Linked DNA regions of Caenorhabditis elegans. The protein of the gene in region 2 interacts with the protein of the main gene of each other region in a pairwise test. Each region holds a gene or a part of one and is shown on either strand. Other genes may lie near its edges.

The links.
Region 1: the proteins of ifb-1 (region 2) and frh-1 interact in a two-hybrid assay, tested with the Caenorhabditis elegans proteins (one large-scale study listed by BioGRID).
Region 3: the proteins of ifb-1 (region 2) and Y56A3A.7 interact in a two-hybrid assay, tested with the Caenorhabditis elegans proteins (one large-scale study listed by BioGRID).

Annotation. Positions count from the first base shown.
Region 1 is NC_003280.10:5,915,373-5,919,283, reverse strand, and holds frh-1 (Frataxin, mitochondrial), read right to left. Parts: upstream 1,863-3,911; coding exon 1,652-1,862; intron 1,606-1,651; coding exon 1,509-1,605; intron 1,258-1,508; coding exon 1,155-1,257; 3' UTR 720-1,154; downstream 1-719. Other genes in the region: Tyrosine-protein phosphatase non-receptor type ptp-2, read right to left, coding at 1-323, 378-506, 553-572; cgt-3 (Ceramide glucosyltransferase 3), read right to left, coding at 2,636-2,803, 2,852-2,983, 3,027-3,350, 3,401-3,621, 3,676-3,911. UniProt on the Caenorhabditis elegans protein: Promotes the biosynthesis of heme as well as the assembly and repair of iron-sulfur clusters by delivering Fe(2+) to proteins involved in these pathways.
Region 2 is NC_003280.10:5,763,415-5,771,665, reverse strand, and holds the start of ifb-1 (Intermediate filament protein ifb-1), read right to left. Parts: upstream 6,049-8,251; 5' UTR 6,025-6,048; coding exon 5,892-6,024; intron 3,445-5,891; exon of another isoform or gene 3,321-3,444; intron 2,722-3,320; exon of another isoform or gene 2,706-2,721; coding exon of another isoform or gene 2,666-2,705; intron 2,568-2,665; coding exon 2,317-2,567; intron 2,020-2,316; coding exon 1,898-2,019; intron 1,853-1,897; coding exon 1,064-1,852; intron 954-1,063; coding exon 752-953; intron 705-751; coding exon 597-704; intron 140-596; coding exon 1-139. UniProt on the Caenorhabditis elegans protein: Cytoplasmic intermediate filaments provide mechanical strength to cells. Essential protein, involved in attachment structures in epidermal cells that connect muscles to the external cuticle. Required in morphogenesis and epidermal integrity.
Region 3 is NC_003281.10:11,943,801-11,948,807, reverse strand, and holds the start of Y56A3A.7 (Homeobox protein cut-like), read left to right. Parts: upstream 1-1,788; 5' UTR 1,789-1,798; coding exon 1,799-1,840; intron 1,841-1,896; coding exon 1,897-2,007; intron 2,008-2,051; coding exon 2,052-2,144; intron 2,145-2,391; coding exon 2,392-2,670; intron 2,671-2,744; coding exon 2,745-2,841; intron 2,842-3,703; coding exon 3,704-3,959; intron 3,960-5,007.

The DNA.
Region 1 (3,911 bases), 150 kb from region 2:
GAAGATACGTTCCATTCTTTTCAGTTTGCAGCAATTTGTTGGCACTACTTGCCGGTAAATTTCCATGCCACCAGCGATAAAGTTGCGTTCGTCGTTGCTCTTCTGCGCAAGCTTCCAGATGATATGGCACATAAACAGGTTTTTTCAGTTCAAGAAAGAGTCCATTCTTCTCCCTGAGTTTTTCTGGAAACTCCATGTAGAATTCGGCGAGTTCGGTGATGGAACCGAATTGATTTGGCGTAGTCCGTTCATCTTCGAAAATACTGAGCATGTCGCTTTCATACTTTGTCACCTTGATATGCAGAATTTTGTCTTCGGCGACTCTGAAAACGATTTCCGAAATTGTATTAATTTATTAGTGAATGACTACAACAAACCTGACAGAAATCGAGAAATTTTGCGGATTTGATTCGCTGTATCGAAGAAGAAAATCTCCATCTTCGCCATACTCTTTGAGCAATTCTTCGGCCTTTTCACCATTCACGCGGTAATAGAAGTTGTATTGTCTGAAAATTCGATTATGAACTAGTTAGAGTATATACACGATCTTACCGCAGCGCTAGGCGTGGCATTTGTTTGAAAAGTAGCAAAGCTCCAAGTAAAAATGACTTTTTTGTTGTAGATGGAGAAGAGTCGCCTAAATTTGAAAATTTTATGAGACGATATTAATCATGTTTACAGAAAGACAACGCAACCGCTTGAGATATCGGTTTAAAAATCGGAATAATACGAATTTATCAACTAATTAACATTTTAGAACATAAGGAACATAGAAGAACATAATAAATTTGGCACAAACGTTCAGAAATTGTAAAATTCTCATTTTGGAAATTATGCGAGAAAATTTGGTTATCTAACGACACTCCGAAATAACGAACCGCGCGTTGTTTAACGTAAATCTAGAACGGAGACTCTACGGAAAAGTTTTCGTGAATCTGAATCCGTCAGCACTTTTTGATAATAATCAGAGATTTTTCCACAGTTTCATTTTCATTAAACGTATAAAAAACGCTTGGGCAAGAAAAACTTTACCAGAAAAGTATCTAGACAATATATAACTAAGTTACAATACATGAGAAAACATGATACATCAAATATGCAAGAAAAAGAGAAAAATCGAGAGAGAATAGAAATCACATGATATGAAATCCGGATTAGACATGTCGCGAGAAATCGATTCGGTCATCGGCCAGAATCTTTCGGAATTCTCTGTTTAGAAGCGAGTCAAGTTGTTCACCATCGTGTGCATAAGTCCATCTGAAATCAAAAAGCGTTAATTTGTGCTCATCCTCTCCGCCTCTTTTCTGCACTTTACGCAATAAGACACTTGCATGTTACTCATCTCGGCTTAATCTCATTTGTCTGCAAACTGATATATATCTAAATCTTCTCTTTTGATGTTCGTGAAACCTTTCGTTACACGATCATCTTGATCATATTCGGTCTAGTGGAGTTGTGCTTTTGATCAAGATATACAATTTAAATAATGAAAATGTGTTTTTACTAACTTTCCCTCCTCTTCTAAATCATATCTTTTCGGACCAGACATCGGACTGGACAACCAAATTTGCTTATTTGGTGATTGTTTGTTAATAACATACGTTCCTGAAATTAAGTAATTAATTTAAGAAATACAAGAACCATCTCGTACCAACAGATTTCGATACATTAACAGTCAAAACTCCCATTGCATGAGATACATCAAATTGTTCGGAAACCGGAAATGAATCGGCAATTTGATCGAAATAGTCTGATAATCTTTCTAATGTTGAATCAGCTGCTGTTTCGTACTCATTTTGACTGAAAATCCGGGACGAAAATGAGCGACGTACAAAATTGTTTCGTAGAATAGTGGAGAGCATCTGAAAACTTTGTTATTCTGAATATTACTCATATGCGAAATTATGTGGTATTTGAGCCGAAAAAAAGGTCTCGACACGACAAATGTTATTAAATGCAAAAAGGTGTGTGCCTTCAAAGAGTACTGTAGTTTCAAACTTATGTTGCTGCAGAATTTTTATCGAATTTTTTCCAACGATTTTTCAAAAGTTGAGCGTTTGTATTGTTATATGTGAGTTTTTAGGATGAATAAATGTATTTTTGTCGAAAATATGAAAAAAAAAATGATGACAATCTGGCAGGAACATAAGTTTGAAATTACAGTACTCTTAAAAGGCGCATAGCTTTTTGCATTTAATGTTAAAAATTTAATGATGTGTCGTCGAGACCGGGTACCGTACTTTTAGAGGAAACATCGCAAAATTTCGCATCAGGGTAATAGTATTGTTCGATATTTGTATTTATGGTGATATAAATTACATAGTTGGAATTTTTCTGAACCTGAGCTTCATATAATCGTAAAATTAAGGAAATCGAATCTGAATATTTTATTAGGCCATCGTGTATGTATTAATAGCACAGAAGATGGTATTTCAGATGTCACCCGTAATGTGAGACAGTTAGCATAGGAGAGTGAAGCTAACAATGTAACTGATGGAGAGACAACAACCCGGACTTTAAAGATTCAGATGATGTAGTGAGAGGATTTACGATAATGTTGAGAAACAGAATCACAGACAAGAATGATGAATTTGGGGTTAGTGAAATTTGGAAATAAAATGAATAAATGAAACAATCAACATTTTGGTGGAAGTATCTGTCCACCCCATGCCAAATGAAAAACATTGTTTCGCCATTGAATTGTTGGTTGTAAAAGAGCTTTGATAAAGACGAAAGGAGCGGTGAGCTCACGCAAAAGCCAAATGAGCATAAATTGAAGTGGAGAGAAGCTCAATTTGCCATTCTGAAATTTGAAAAATGTTGATGTATATTTTATTAGAAAATATATTACCTGCATACTGTTCATTAGCGAGTAATCCATACTGAACCAGTAGATAGTATGAAGTATCAATATTGGCATTATATTCAATCCTACCAAATGATTCAAACTGAATGCCATGATTAAACCAGACGGGAAGCAATCCTATAATATTGGAGATTTAAAAAAAAGTGAATTTTGGAATTACCTGCAATGGCTCAACGAGAAGAATGTGTGGCAACATGGCAATCCTTAACTTGACCCATCTGCAAATTCTATCGAGAAATGACGAAACCGATACTGATGATGAGTTCTGGAGAGCTGGGTGAGATGATATTGCAGATTTGTAACCACGATTTGCGAGCTCTCTTCCGAAAAAGTAGTCCTCTGCAAGATATCCTCCAAAATTAGAAATGCCACCACATTCATCAAGTGCTTCTTTCTTCATCATTGATGACATTCCCGTGGAACAGACAAAGTCCATACAATTTCCAGCTAGGTATATACGTCCATGAGAAGTTCCAAAATACATCTAAAATTTAGAGCTCTTATAGATTTCTTTCTAAGGAATCCATGTTCTACCTGCTCAAAAGCCGCATCGAAACCTTCTCGATCCTTACAATACGGTGTCTGTGTCACTAATGCCATTTTCTCATGACTCATCATCGTTGTGGCCATATCCAAAACACCATCTGAACGCATAAATATTCCACTGTCACTAACTAATATCAGCGGATAAAGTGCAGAACGATACGCAGGCATCATGTTGTTGATCTTTGGATTCAGTCCAACGGTTTCACCTCCTTAAAAAAATAAAAGATTTTAAGAAAAATGTTCCAGAAAAGCAGTTGACCTACCAAAGAAAAGTTTCGCATCAACCTTCGGATATTTCTTCATGAGACACTTCACAACTTCCACAGCTTCATCATCTGAAGAGTTGAAACAGAACAAAAGTTCATATTTGTGATATTGTGTGGTGAAAAATGATTCTATATTCTCGTATAAATTATTATCTTTTCCAACAATTGGTTTAATTATAGAAACTCCAGGAAGCGATGAATCTTCTTTCACTTTGTGATGTAATCGATATTTT
Region 2 (8,251 bases):
GGGTGTGTGTTGCACGCTCCTCTCCATCCTTGTTCACCAATGACGTCACAACATTGGCTCCGATTCCCCAGGTGTTCTCTCCATCGAAGACAAGAGACTCTGGTGGGTTGTTGATGCCTCCTTGGTCACGGGCGTAGATCTGGAAATTTATTGGAATTGGAATATTCTCTTTTCGAAATTATGTAGATTAGTTTCTCAGCAAATGCGAGAAACCCTTAGACTAACCCGAAACGATTAAATTTCATAATGAGACCTCTCAGAAAATGTTTCCAAATTTCTTATGGTGGCTCAAAACTTGGGGAAAACATTTTCAAATTTCTAAAACCTGTAACTCTGATAAAGAGCATTAGAGAAATAACAACTGATTTTCCGATATTGCTACATGGACAATCTCACAAAATTTCAGATTTTAGCAAAATTTGGCCATTCCCTTTCAAAATTTTTTTTTTGGAAATTTTCAGGTGAAAGTACGTTTTTAACGGGCTTCAGACTATGTTGGCTGGGTTTCTCAAAAATATAGTGGCAGACTAAAAAAATACTAAGAATATTTACATAGCTACACACTTTTTTCTAAAACAATGATAAAAATAACTTACGGTCAAGTTCTTTCCTGGCTTGATAACAACATTGGCTGGAATGGAATAGACAATTTCGCGTCTTCCATCCAACTTTCTTCTGATTTTGTGCTCACCAACATTCTCATCCTGAAATAAAATTTTCAACATTTCAAAACCAAAAAGCTTCAACATACCTTGTTTCTGTGCGAGTTCTCAAGCTTGATGAACTTTCCATTTGGATCACACTCGGAAATTGTCACATTTCCCTTGGCGGATCTTTGGAAGGTGGTCTTGGTGGATACCTCACCGCGAACTGATCTTGTCGAATCAGTGTTTTCTTGTTGTTGGAGAGAATGCGTCTTGACGGCTTGCTCAACCATTTGGGTGAGTCCGACTCTGCAAATATATTTTTGAAACTTTTGAGAAAGGTTTTAGAACAAAATGATAACAAAACTGCCCAAAATTTGGCTTGCTGGGAATATTGATTAAATAACGATAATAATTACCTGGTCTCTTCTCCCTCGAGCATTTTTCTGTAGATGGCAATTTCGGCGTCAAGCATTTGCTTGGTATCCAAAAGAGCTTGAAGCTCAGCAACCAATGTTTGGCATTCCTCACGCATTCTTCTCAATGTAGCATCTCTGTCGTTGAGGGCAGCTTCGTATTGTCTTTGATCGTCGGTCAATTGGTAGTTCAAGTTCTGAACTTCCTTCTCCAAAAGTGAGTTCTTGTTCTCCAAATCTCCCAATTTTCCGCGGAGATCTCCAATGTTGTCTCTCATTCTCTTGACCTCATCCCTCTGGTAGGTGGACTCCATATTGGCACGGTTGGCAGATCCTTGAACCTCGGAAACCTTGAGCTTGTACCAGGACTCCATGTCTTGCTTTCCTTGCTTGGCAATGATATCATACTCATCTTTGATATCACGGATGGCAAGAGCCAATTCGTTTTTGAAGAACTCTCTGGTGTCAGCTGGAGCCTGAGCAAGGAGAGCTTGAAGTTCCTTAACCTCTTGTTCGTGAACTCTTCTCAAGAATTCGAGCTCCTCCATCAAAGTCTGCACTTGATTTTGGAAGTCAATTCTGCCAATGGTCTCATCATCAAGATCGCTTCTGGCCTTCTGAAGTTCTTCCCAGATTCTCGAGTTGTCAGCTGTAACACGCTTCTCCTCATCTGTCAATTGCTTGAAACGAGCACGGAGCATCTCAACTTCGGATTGAGCATCAGCGATAGCATTGGTCCATTGGGAGATCTTCTCGCGATCGGACTCACGGCGTTGCTGGATATCTTCGTATCTGAATAAATATTGATAAGCAACAGAAAATTAAGAATAAATAAACCTGGATCTGTACTCAGCCAAGTCGTCACGGTGTCTGGCAACTTTCACATCAACCTCTGCCTTTCTACGAGCAGCATCGTCAATGTCCTTACGAGCTGTTGAGAGGGATTCGGAGTATTTGATCTGAAATTAACAATTTGAATAGGAAAGAAGCTTTAAGAAGTTTGTTCCAAAATATAGGTTGAAATTTTAAAAAAACACTGGACAGGAAGCGCACAGATTTTCTTCTGGTAAGTTGAAGATTTTAAGGATGTTTGAGAGAATTCTCTAATATAGTAAATAAAATCTTGAAAGTTTCGAATATATATCTAAATAGAAATTACTGATTCACAATCAAATAATAAATGTTTTTTCTACAACTACTTCAGTTTTTTGCTTGCAGAAGCTTGCTTAAAATTTATTTGAAATTCACTAAAATACCTTAATCTCGGATGTGTCTTTTCCCCATTTTCCGCGAAGCTCATCCAAATCAGCAACCAATTTACGGTTCTGCTCTTCGAGTTTCTTGACACGATCAATGTAATTTCCGAGACGATCATTGAGTCCCTGCAGTGTCTTCTTTTCCTTATCAGTCGCCTCAAGGAACGATTTTGCTGCGTTTGCGGACAAGGCCGGTGAAATTCCTCCGACTGTAGCTGATCCCATCTCTGTCACCATCTTTAGCACGCGTCCTGAACGTTTTTATAATGATAATTAGGAGATTAGATTTGATTTGAGTGTTTTTATATTTCTATTGGGAATTTATATTTCGATATTCTTCTATTCTTACCTCCTGACATTGGTGCCTGTGGCGCTGATTCAGCCTCCATTTCTGATGTGTTTTAGCTTGAAATTTTAAAGTTTTTCTAGAAGATTAAGGGAAAAAAAATAATGAGGAACAAGTTCGAAAATTTCTGAATGAAAAATGAAAAACAAATGGTATAGAAACTAAATGTAAGTGTCACAAACACTATGCAAAATAACGGAAACCGTCGACCAATTCTGACCCTCTTCTGAATACTCCACCCAACGAAGAAATAGCATTAAATTTGTGGAGAACTTAGAGAAAAAGAATGAAGGTGTGTCAATGGTTTTGCCTTCCCGATCATCACCGATGATAGAAAATGGAGAAAGAGAAGAAGATATAATGGTGATAAGTTGAAGACAACGGACATGTACACATACGTACAGATTGCGAGTTGACTGTGCCTATGAATGAATGGATAAATTGGAAGAAAAGTGGAAAGAGATCAAGACACTACTTACTTAGAAATTGAAGATGAAGAATACGTCAAGGTTGTTGTGGGCGGAGTCAACTAAAGATAATCATCTTGATCAGATCTCAATCATTCATTTTTGTTATCTTTTTTAAATTGCGGGGAAGCTAATTAATTTAACTAGGATTCCATTTTTGACATTTTTTGGTAAGGGAGATATTTTTGTTTCAGAAACTAAATCTAATGGTAGGAAGGCTTATTTTTAGGCCAACGTACCTGTTTTATTTTTGTCAATTTGATAGAAATTCAATTAAGAAAAACATCATTTCCAGTCCTCAAAAATGTTTTTAAGTTTAAGAATCTTGAAACACGGGCCGCAAAAATTGACTTATCTCAAGTTAGAACAAAATTGGTTAAAAAATTAGTTTTGACAACTTAAATGTAAGATGGGACATTTCTAATTGAAAAAAAAAACTCTACACCATCTTGCAATAAATCGGAGAAATCCGAGATTCTATCCGAGAAGATCTCATAAATCAAGTGATAATCAGTATAATAAGTTCTTGTCACTGTTCCACCCAATTCTCACTCATTAAAACTAAATGACTAATCACACATAAAAAATGGGTGTTTTCCATGTCTCAGTTTCTCATCATTCAAAATAGTCACATCTTGGGTGTGGTCATTCCTTCCTTTCTCACCTATTTCTCATCTATTTCGTAACTGTATTCTAAATTAAAAGTTATTCAGGGGATTCTTTTAATTTTAATTCGTTACCCAAAAAAAAACAAAATTAAAATAAATGATGAATAAAATCAATAAAAGCTCGGATTTCTTCAAAGTCCGTCAAGTTTTCAAGTGTGTTGAGCAGTCAGCCGGCTGGCGGAAAGTGTGCCCAAGAAACAACAAACTAAACATTTTGTTGACTTAATCGGCTCAATGTATCTTTTTATACATGTTATCTCAACTGGTTACGAAAATTGAAATATTGTATTTAAAACTGTCTGAAATTTTGGTGCCTCTTTCAATCTGTTATTTGCTTTTTGCATTTTATTTCCAAAAATGTTGCCATTTTTATGTATATGCATAGTTGAAGACTATTTGCCTAACAACTCTTTCTGTCATGCACTATAAACTTGATGGAACTTGAACTTTTAAATTCAATAGATTTTTGGTTTGAAAATGAAGGGCGTTCCTCAGTGATTATGCTAATTGTGAGACTGTATCGAGAGACGAGAAAACCCAGAGATTTATGGGATTTTTTGGATGAGAAAAAGTGGATTTAATGACGGTTGAATAGGAAACGATATGGGCTGCCGGAAAAAAATCTTGTGGTCTTATATTTTGATCTTGATCTCCAGATTTGCTTAAAACAATAAAAAAGAACAATTTTTCTTTTGTTATGGTAATGCCTGCCTATTTTCTATTTTCACAGTGAGTTAACTTGCTCAAAGAACAACTAAAAATTACAAACATAAAAGATAACTTGTGTTTAGGCAGCAGATACGTGCGTAGGCTTACGGCAAGTTATAAGAAGCTAATACTATGTAGTAAGTTTACGTACCTAAATCTCTGACTTAACAAACAATTTTCAATTTCAAATTTTTACTGTTAAAAACTGTTTTTAGCTTTTAATTAAATATATTTCGACTGCAGTTTTTGAAGTTTTAATTATCCTGACATTTTATGCTAAAATTGCCAATTTCAAATTTTCCCCATTTTTGCCTCAAAACTCCAAAAATATTAATATTTGTTTAATTTTTGAGGAATTCCCCCATTTATTCACAGAAATTTCACTTCATAAAAACCTGTTTCTAGATTTTTGTTAAACTATGAAAAAGTGTGGTTTCTTGCCAAGTGAGCAAATATTAAGAAAACTCATTAAATTAAAAATTGCATTTAAAGGCATAAAGTATTACTTTTTATCTTTTAACTTTTATAATTTCGAAAATAATTGATTTTAAGTGATATTTTTAAGCAGAAGATTTTGGATCAACTCCGAGTAGAAAAAATGTAAAATCCCTGCTCAAAATATTATCCTCTACCAAACTGTTCACCTTTCTCAAAAACGTTTCGTTTAGCCAAGAACAAATCAACGCGTTCGCACTGATAACGACTCTTGCTCTCTTTTTCTCGTTTTTATATTTTCTTTTCATCCTCCAGGTCTATATTTCCATCCTCATTTCTATTGTATAGCACAGCAAAAACCAATATTTACTTCATCTTCCAATTGATTAATAAAACCACCCAAACTATTTTTTTGCAATCGGATGAACGAGAGAGAGAGAGAGAGAATAAAGTGTTCGGTTCGATTGATGCGACTGTTCACTAATTCGCTTTGAATTCAAATACATAATTATGGATGGGTAGTAGACGGATAAACATGTAAACAGAGAAATAGAGAAAGAAAGGAAAAAAGAATATTGGAATATTGGTTCAGTTAATAGTTGATCGGATGTATAGTGTCAACTTGAATTAAGGTCATCTATAAGACCGGTCCAGGAGAAAAATAGCTTGAAGGTTTACTACTTTTGAAAAAATAAAAGTATATTCTGAAACTCTCAATCTAACAGGAAAGTATAGAAAATACGTTGGAAATTGAGTGATCTCTGAAGCTTAGACTTCAGTAGGAAATTTTTTTAAAAGATATATAACTATCCGGATTTCAAATCAAGAATTTGAAACAAGAAATGCTCCTGGTATTGATGATTATTTTCAGAGGAAAGGATATAGTAATAGCTGAAATTTTTTTTAATCTTTACCGTTTTCAACTTTAAATTTTTTTAAAATCTAACTAACCTCCGGATCCTGCTCCATTTCCACCAGACACGTAGTTTCCAGACTGACGTGATTGAGAGCGAACCGCTGTTCTTGGCTGGATGGTGGATCTGTATTGCATCTCGTACTCGGAAGATTCCTTGTGAGACGACATCTTCTTTCAGAAGTTTGACGCTACCTGAAATTTTTTTTTTGAAAATATAGAAGCTGAATTGGGAAAATACAGAAAACTGAGCAAAAAGTAACAATTACAAATTTTAATAAAAAGTGTTAAACCTTAAAACAACAATATGATAAAAAAAAATGTTTCTGCATCCTTCGGCATCCAATTTGTTCCTTATCAAAACCCAAATAAGCGTGGCCGGTTTTCAACAAACATACACACTCATATATATGTTCAACATTTTTTTGAGTACACTCCACAAAAAAACAGAAAACAAATAAGGTGGAGGAGGAGTGACTGAACACGCCCATTTTTGTTCATGGAAATCAGAATTGAATATGGGTGGAAGGACATGATGGTGAGTCAACGTTAACCTGTCAAACAAATTGAAACACCCAAGCACATTCCGGAGAATTGTTAGATGGAAGAACAATAGAGATTGAATTTCTCGCGCATTGTGCAGGGAAATTTGCAAGAATTGGGTGGAAAATGACGAGAAAATGATGGAAGTTAAATGATTTTATTCATGATTTTTTTAAAAGATTATCTTGATTTTTTTTTATTTCTGCAGACTACAGTAAATGCTTCTTATAATTGTTTTTTTCGAGCAACGTGAAATGATCGCAAAATAATAAAAACCTTCTAGGTAGGCACGAAACCTACTAGAATTCACAGGAAAAATAGGATGCAACCAAGTACGAAAGCCGGCAAAAAGGAATGATTTCATGCCTATCTCCTTTAAAGACTTAATTGTTCAGATCTGAAAAACTTTCTAAAAAAAGTGGGACAGCGAAATTTATGTTGCATTTTGTTTCGTAAAGTTTTCAACTTTTATGAATGATTTTGAAAATGAATTGCTGTTTTTTTTTTAATTTTAGTATTCATATTTTCATACCTAAAGCTTGTTGACTCAAACTTAAAATCATAATAAAACTAGCAAAAGATGTGAAGAAACATGTGGGTGTTCAGTGAGTCATAAAGTTGGAAATTTATTGAGTAATTGTATGACCAAGTTCTAATTGACACTACTTGAAATCCTAAACCATTCGGTTACTCATTCACGATAGTTTAGAAAGCTTAAAGTAACTTTGGGGTGGAGTGAATAAAAGTAGAAAAAGACACAGTGCTCCTGCTCTGCTCGGAGTAAAAAAGTGAAGCGAAAAAAATGAAATCGGAAAGACACACACACACAAGCATTCCTACAGAATACCGAAAGGGTATTGTGAGGACGGTCTGTTGCGCCGGGGGTCGATGAGGCAGAGGCCCTGAGAAGCGCCCCCACCAATTGCTCCGCCCCCATTTTGTTGCCGAACCGTCGAAAAACGAGCTGCTATTTGCGTTCCTCCTTCTTTTTTCTCTCTGCGCGCTTCACTTTTTGAAATGATGCGCTTGGCGTATAGGCGTATTCCGAGAGAATTTAGAAGAGATGACGACTACTTTTACCTCATAGGAAGTGGCCGATTATCACAGTCAAGGACAAGAGAGAAATGATTTGAAATGGAAAAATGAGGAGATGTTAGTGAGGGAATTGGAAGAGGGGGAGAATAAGACATTGTTAACATTTTGTTTTCATTTATGGGTGAGAATGATGACAAGATTGGAGGTACAAGTGATCAAATAGTTCTACGAAAATGTTCCGTGCTGGCTAAGGTTTTGCATTTTTAATGTTGGGCTGTGGTAAAAAAATTAAGAACTCATTGTCAGTAAACAAGTTTTGTAAACATTGAAACCTGTAAAAAAATAGTTTAAAATTATCGCCGTCCAGTACTAAAGCTGAGGCATACCGTATTTTCCCTACAAAGTCTGCACCACAATTACTCTACTTTGACGGCCTATTTTCCAATTGTCTCAAGTGTTATCAAAAAATTCTCTACAACCAAAATATAGAGACATATTTGGTACATATTTGGTAGTTGACAATTTATTGATAAAATTTAAAGCAACCGAGATATATTCTGCCAAAGTAGAACCAGAAGATACAAGTCTAATAGGAAGAATACGGTAAGTTGAGGCCAATTTCTAATCTCGAGGCAAATGTGAAAACTAGCATGCACAAATATGCCTACCCGCCTATCTACAGGTACGACTCTGCTTGCAAGAGAGATAGGCAAGGAGGTAGGTAGGAAGGTAAGTAAGTCTACTGGTAGGCGGGTAGGCATCATGCGCTCATTTAGCATTGAAAAATTATAGCCGATATGATAGCTTTCTTCCCGGCTAA
Region 3 (5,007 bases), on a different chromosome or scaffold from region 2:
TAGAACGGGAGTTAAAACATGATTCAGTCACTCTAAATTTTTTTTGGTGCAAAGCTGAAAAAAATATACAAGCCTATTTATTTCCTATGTATAACGCAAAAAAAATTTGAATTTCTTATCATTGTATTCCTCATAATCAGGTGTAGTTCTGCTTATAGAACGAAATGAGTATAAATTTCGTATCATTAAAACTAATAACACTGACCTTTAATAGATAGTGTGGCGTTTAAGACTATAGTTAGTAGTAGTTTAGAAAATGTCGTCGAACTTTTAGGGAACTATAGAATTTTTGCGGCAAATTTGCCGGATTAGCCGGACAAATTAAACAATTTTTATAAAATTGTTGTTCTCAATCAGAAACTTAATGAAAGAAAACATTTCATCGTGTTTCTTTCATTTTTATTCAAGAAATTCAGGATAAAATTGAACTAAAATCAGTGACATTAGTTTTTTTTTTTTTGTATTAAGGTTGCCACTTTTTGAGCTAAAATTTGAGCGACCACGACCGGTGTGATTTTTTTTTGACAATTTTTGGCTAACGACTAGCCTAACTTAAAAAAAAGGATTAAATATATGAAATGCTACTGATAAAAAAGTGTGTCGCTGCATGCAAAATCAACAGGATTTATGGGGTTACCGAAATAGTGTCGAAAAATTAAAAAGTGTAGAAAAATACCGTATCAATTGTAATAAATACATAAAATACATGTATTTTAATACATTTTGCAACATTACTTGAATAAACCCATTAGCACATAATTTTCAGACACAAGTTTTCAGATTTAGAGATCATTTTGTAATTTTGAGGCAATTTAATAGAATTTTATTTCTAATTACACTCTCGGTATCAGTGGCTCTCGTTAAAATCAACACCCCTAATTCAATATTCAATTCAATCCATATCTATTACCTCTCGGAGGACCTTCCCCTCCCCCCGTTCCACACCAACCCAAATAGGGCGTTGCCTTCCTCCGCTATGAATCACCCCGCCAACTTTTTGCCTGACTAATTTCGGCCGAGAGATTGTACAGTGCGGTGAGAGAAAGAGAGGCATAGGTTTTCCGTCCGTACAGTCGTCGCCTACGGTTCGATCAATTGTGGAAGTATAGTGTGTCCGTGTGTGTGTATGTTTCGCCTCTTCTATTGACATTCTATTTCAGTGTGCTTAGTTTTGTGTGTGTGTGTGTGTACTTTTCGAATTTTGGCGAGCTGCTGAACATTTTTGATTCTTGGAGCTCCTGTCAAATATTTTTACACTATTTTTTTTAATTTTGTATTTTTTAGTCCCTTTTCGGCCATTTTTATTAGTTTTTTTGACCCGACTTCGGAATTTCCAATTTTTCCGGAGTTTTTCGAATTTCCGAGAATTTATTTTCCCCCGCCTAAGCTTTAACTTAATCCTTAGCCTAGGCCTAAGCCTAAGCCTAAATCTAAGTCTACGCCTAAGCTTAAGCCTAAGTCTAAGTGTATGCCTAAGCCTAAGCCTGAAACTAAGTTTAAGCCCACGCGATTTTTTCCAATTTTGGCTAAAATCACTTCAAAATAAGAACTTCAAACTCCGCCTACTTCATCTGATTGGTTTAAAAATGGGCGGAGCGAATCGCTGATTGGTCGCAGTTCTCATTTTGGAGGGAATTTAGCCAAAATTGAAAAATCTAGTTTTTTTTTCCGATTTTTTCGTTCTTCTATTCTGGTTTTTCTGAATTTCAGACTATATTTGGATTTTTTTAAACTGCAAAATTTCAAATTTCAATTTTTCATTTTTAATTTTTAACTTTTAATTTTTCCAGATCCAATCATGAGCTCCGTCGAACTTCCACAAGTAATGGATGATAATTTGGTATTCTAAACAGCTGAAATTTGCTGAAATTATACTTTTTTTTTCCTCAATTCCAGATATCCCGACGCAAGAAAATCATGCAATCCATCGAGGATATTCGTGGCAAAAAGGCTGAAATCGCGCAAGCTCTCCGCGAATTAGGAGTCGGAAAGCCACAGGAGAATGAGGTGCGAAATATTTTATTTTTAAACTGAAAATTTGAATTTTCCAGTCTGTAAAAGAAGATATGAAGCTACTTTTGGCCGCGTTTGACTCGATTTCGGCACAAGAAGCTCAGTATATGGATATTTTGAAGACTATTGTCGTGAGTTTGCTTTTTTCGACAAATTTTCGTTTAAAAAATCGAGAAAAATCACAATTTTCCATTAAAAATAATTTTGTTCGATTGTCCAGGAGGAGTACACGGCGTGGGGGACTAGGTGGGTTTCTAGTCCCCCGCGCAGTGTAGTCCTCTCAGACAAACTTTATTTTATTATTTTTTAAACAATTGATGAATAAAAGTGAATTTTTTTCCAGTTTTCCGGGGTTTTTGATGAAAAAAATTTTTCCAGGGAATTCACGAACAAGCCACCCTCGATATCGCCAAAGATTTCGAGAAAAAAATCGAGGACGACGCTCAAAAACTGAAAGAACAGAAGGAGAAACAGGAGGAAGACGCCACGGAAGAAGACGAAAATGCGGAAAAGACTCCAGAAGAGCAGGCGAACAGTGAGGTTATCGCTGAGCTTCAGGAAGCGCTGCTCGAGCTAAAACAAGTCTCCGAGGCCGCGGTGGCGGCGTCTGAGCTGAACGAGAAGCTCGTCGAGAGGCTTCAGTTGACGAAGAGGAAGGTTTGTTTTGGTGGAAATTTGAGCAAAAAAAAAAAAAGAATTTTGAGCAAAAAATCAATATTATTCCAATTCAGAAGAGCGCTATGATGGAGGTTCGCGCCAAAAAGGCAAAGGATTTGGATGACGTAGCGACGAAAGTTCGAGCCGAGGTTATGGAGAGAATTAATAAAAGTAATAATTTTCACCAAATTGGTTACGAAAAACGAATTTTTTTTGCAAAAAAAAAACTGCGAAAAATGGTGAAAAATCAAGCATTTTAGCAGAAAACTGAAAAAAAAAAAACGTCAAACTTGTCCACGTGGAGTACACGCAGCCTGCGTAAATCTACACGAGTTTTAAAGAGACAGTGATTTATACAGGATTTTAAAAAGTTGAAAGTTTTCAGATTTTTCAATAAAAGAAATTTTTTCGGAAAAAATTTAAAATTTTGGCTATTTTTTTTACTTTTTAGCTAAAAACAAAATAAAAACACAATTTTTAAAATCTTAAAATTTTGAAAAAAATATTTTCTCGATTTTTCAAATTTTTTTCAAACAAAAAAATTGTATTTTTCGAAAAATTGCTCAAAATGTTGAAAAAAAATAGTTCAAACTTGTCCACGTGGAGTACACGCGGCCTCCGTAAATCTACACGAATTTTAAGGAGACAGTGATTTATACAGGATTTTCAGAAGTTAAAAATTTTCAGATTTTTCAAAAAAAAAATTCCGAAAAATTCGATTTTCCGGAAAATAACACAGTTTTTAAAATCTTAAAATTTTTTTAAAAACTTTTTTTTGATTTTTCAAAATTTCCAAAAACTATATTTTTCGAAAAATTGCTCAAAATGTTGAAAAAAAAAATTCAAAGTTGTCCACGTGGAGTACACGCGGCCTGCGTAAATCTACACGAGTTTTAAAGGAACATGGGCTCATACAAAATTCTAAAACAAATTCCGAATTTTCGAAAAAAAAATTTTTTTCTCAAAATTGCGTTTTTTTTCTTTTTTAGGAAAAAATTTCCAATTTTCAATAAAAAATTATATATTTTTCCAGTGGCGGCCCTCAAAAAAACGACTACAAAGCAAGAAAAAGAGCTCAAAGAGCTCCAGAAGCAGTGTCTTCAACTAGGACTTCAACTGGGAACTGATGAGAATCGAGAAATCGATCCGGCAGCAGAAGAAGCTCTTTTAGATGATAATCAACGTGTTCCAGTGATTGTGGAGACTCAGGAGAAGCCTGATTTGAATGATGAGGAAAAGGAGAAGAGAAGAGAGGAAATTCGAGAGAATATTAAGAAAGAAATGGAGAAGTTAGCATTAATTTTGATTTTAGACCTTAAAAATGAAAAAAGCTAGGAAAAATAGAAAAATCGTTGTTTTTAGTGCAAAAATTTTTGAAAACATTCCAAAAAAAAACCATTCATTTTGGAAGAAAATTACAAAAATCGTTGTACATTCTTCCAAAAAAATCCCAAAAAATATATTTTAAAAATCCCAAACATTTTGAAAAAGTTCCAAAAATGGGTTTTTTATCCAAAAAAAATCCAAAAACAATTCCAAAAAATTCCAAAAAAATTCTTTAAAAAATCCAAAAAAAAACCAAAAATTCTGAAAATTTTGTTTTTAAAAAACCCCCAAAAATTTTGAGAAAAATTCCGAAAATTGTTTTTTTTAACCAAAAAAAAGAAAAGAAAAATTCCTTAATTTCCTTTTAAAAATTCCTAAAAATTCGTAAAAAATCCCGAACAAAACCAAAATTTTTGAAAAAAATCCAGAACGTTTTAATCCAAAAAATTTCATAAAAAATCCATAAAAAATCCCAAAAATTTTGAAAAAAATCCAAAACTCTTTTTTAATCAAAAAAAATTCCAAAAGTTCCAAAAATTAATTTTTAAATTCAAAAAATTATGAAAGAAATCCACAAAAAACTCCAAAATTGCAATTTTAATCCAAAAATTTTTGACAAAAAATTTTAAAAATTTTGTTTGAAAAATTTGATAATCGTTGTTTTTTGGTCCAAAAAATTGAAAAAAAAACCAAAAATTAAAAAAAAAAGTTCCAAAAATTGTTTTTTAATCCAAAAAAAATCAAAGAAAAATTCCTTAATTTCATTTTAAAAAAATTCCTAAAAGTTCTGAAAAAATCCTTTAAAAAAAAATCCAGAAATTGTATTTTTAATCCAAAAATTTTTGAAAAAAAAAATCCTAAAAATTTTGTTTTAAACTTTTGAAAATCGTTGTTTTTTAGTTCAAAAAATTCTGAAAAAAATCCTGTTATTCTAAAATTGTATTTTTTTAATCCAAAAATTTCGAAAAAACCCCTAAATTTTGAAAGTAAATTCCAAAAAAATACCAAAAA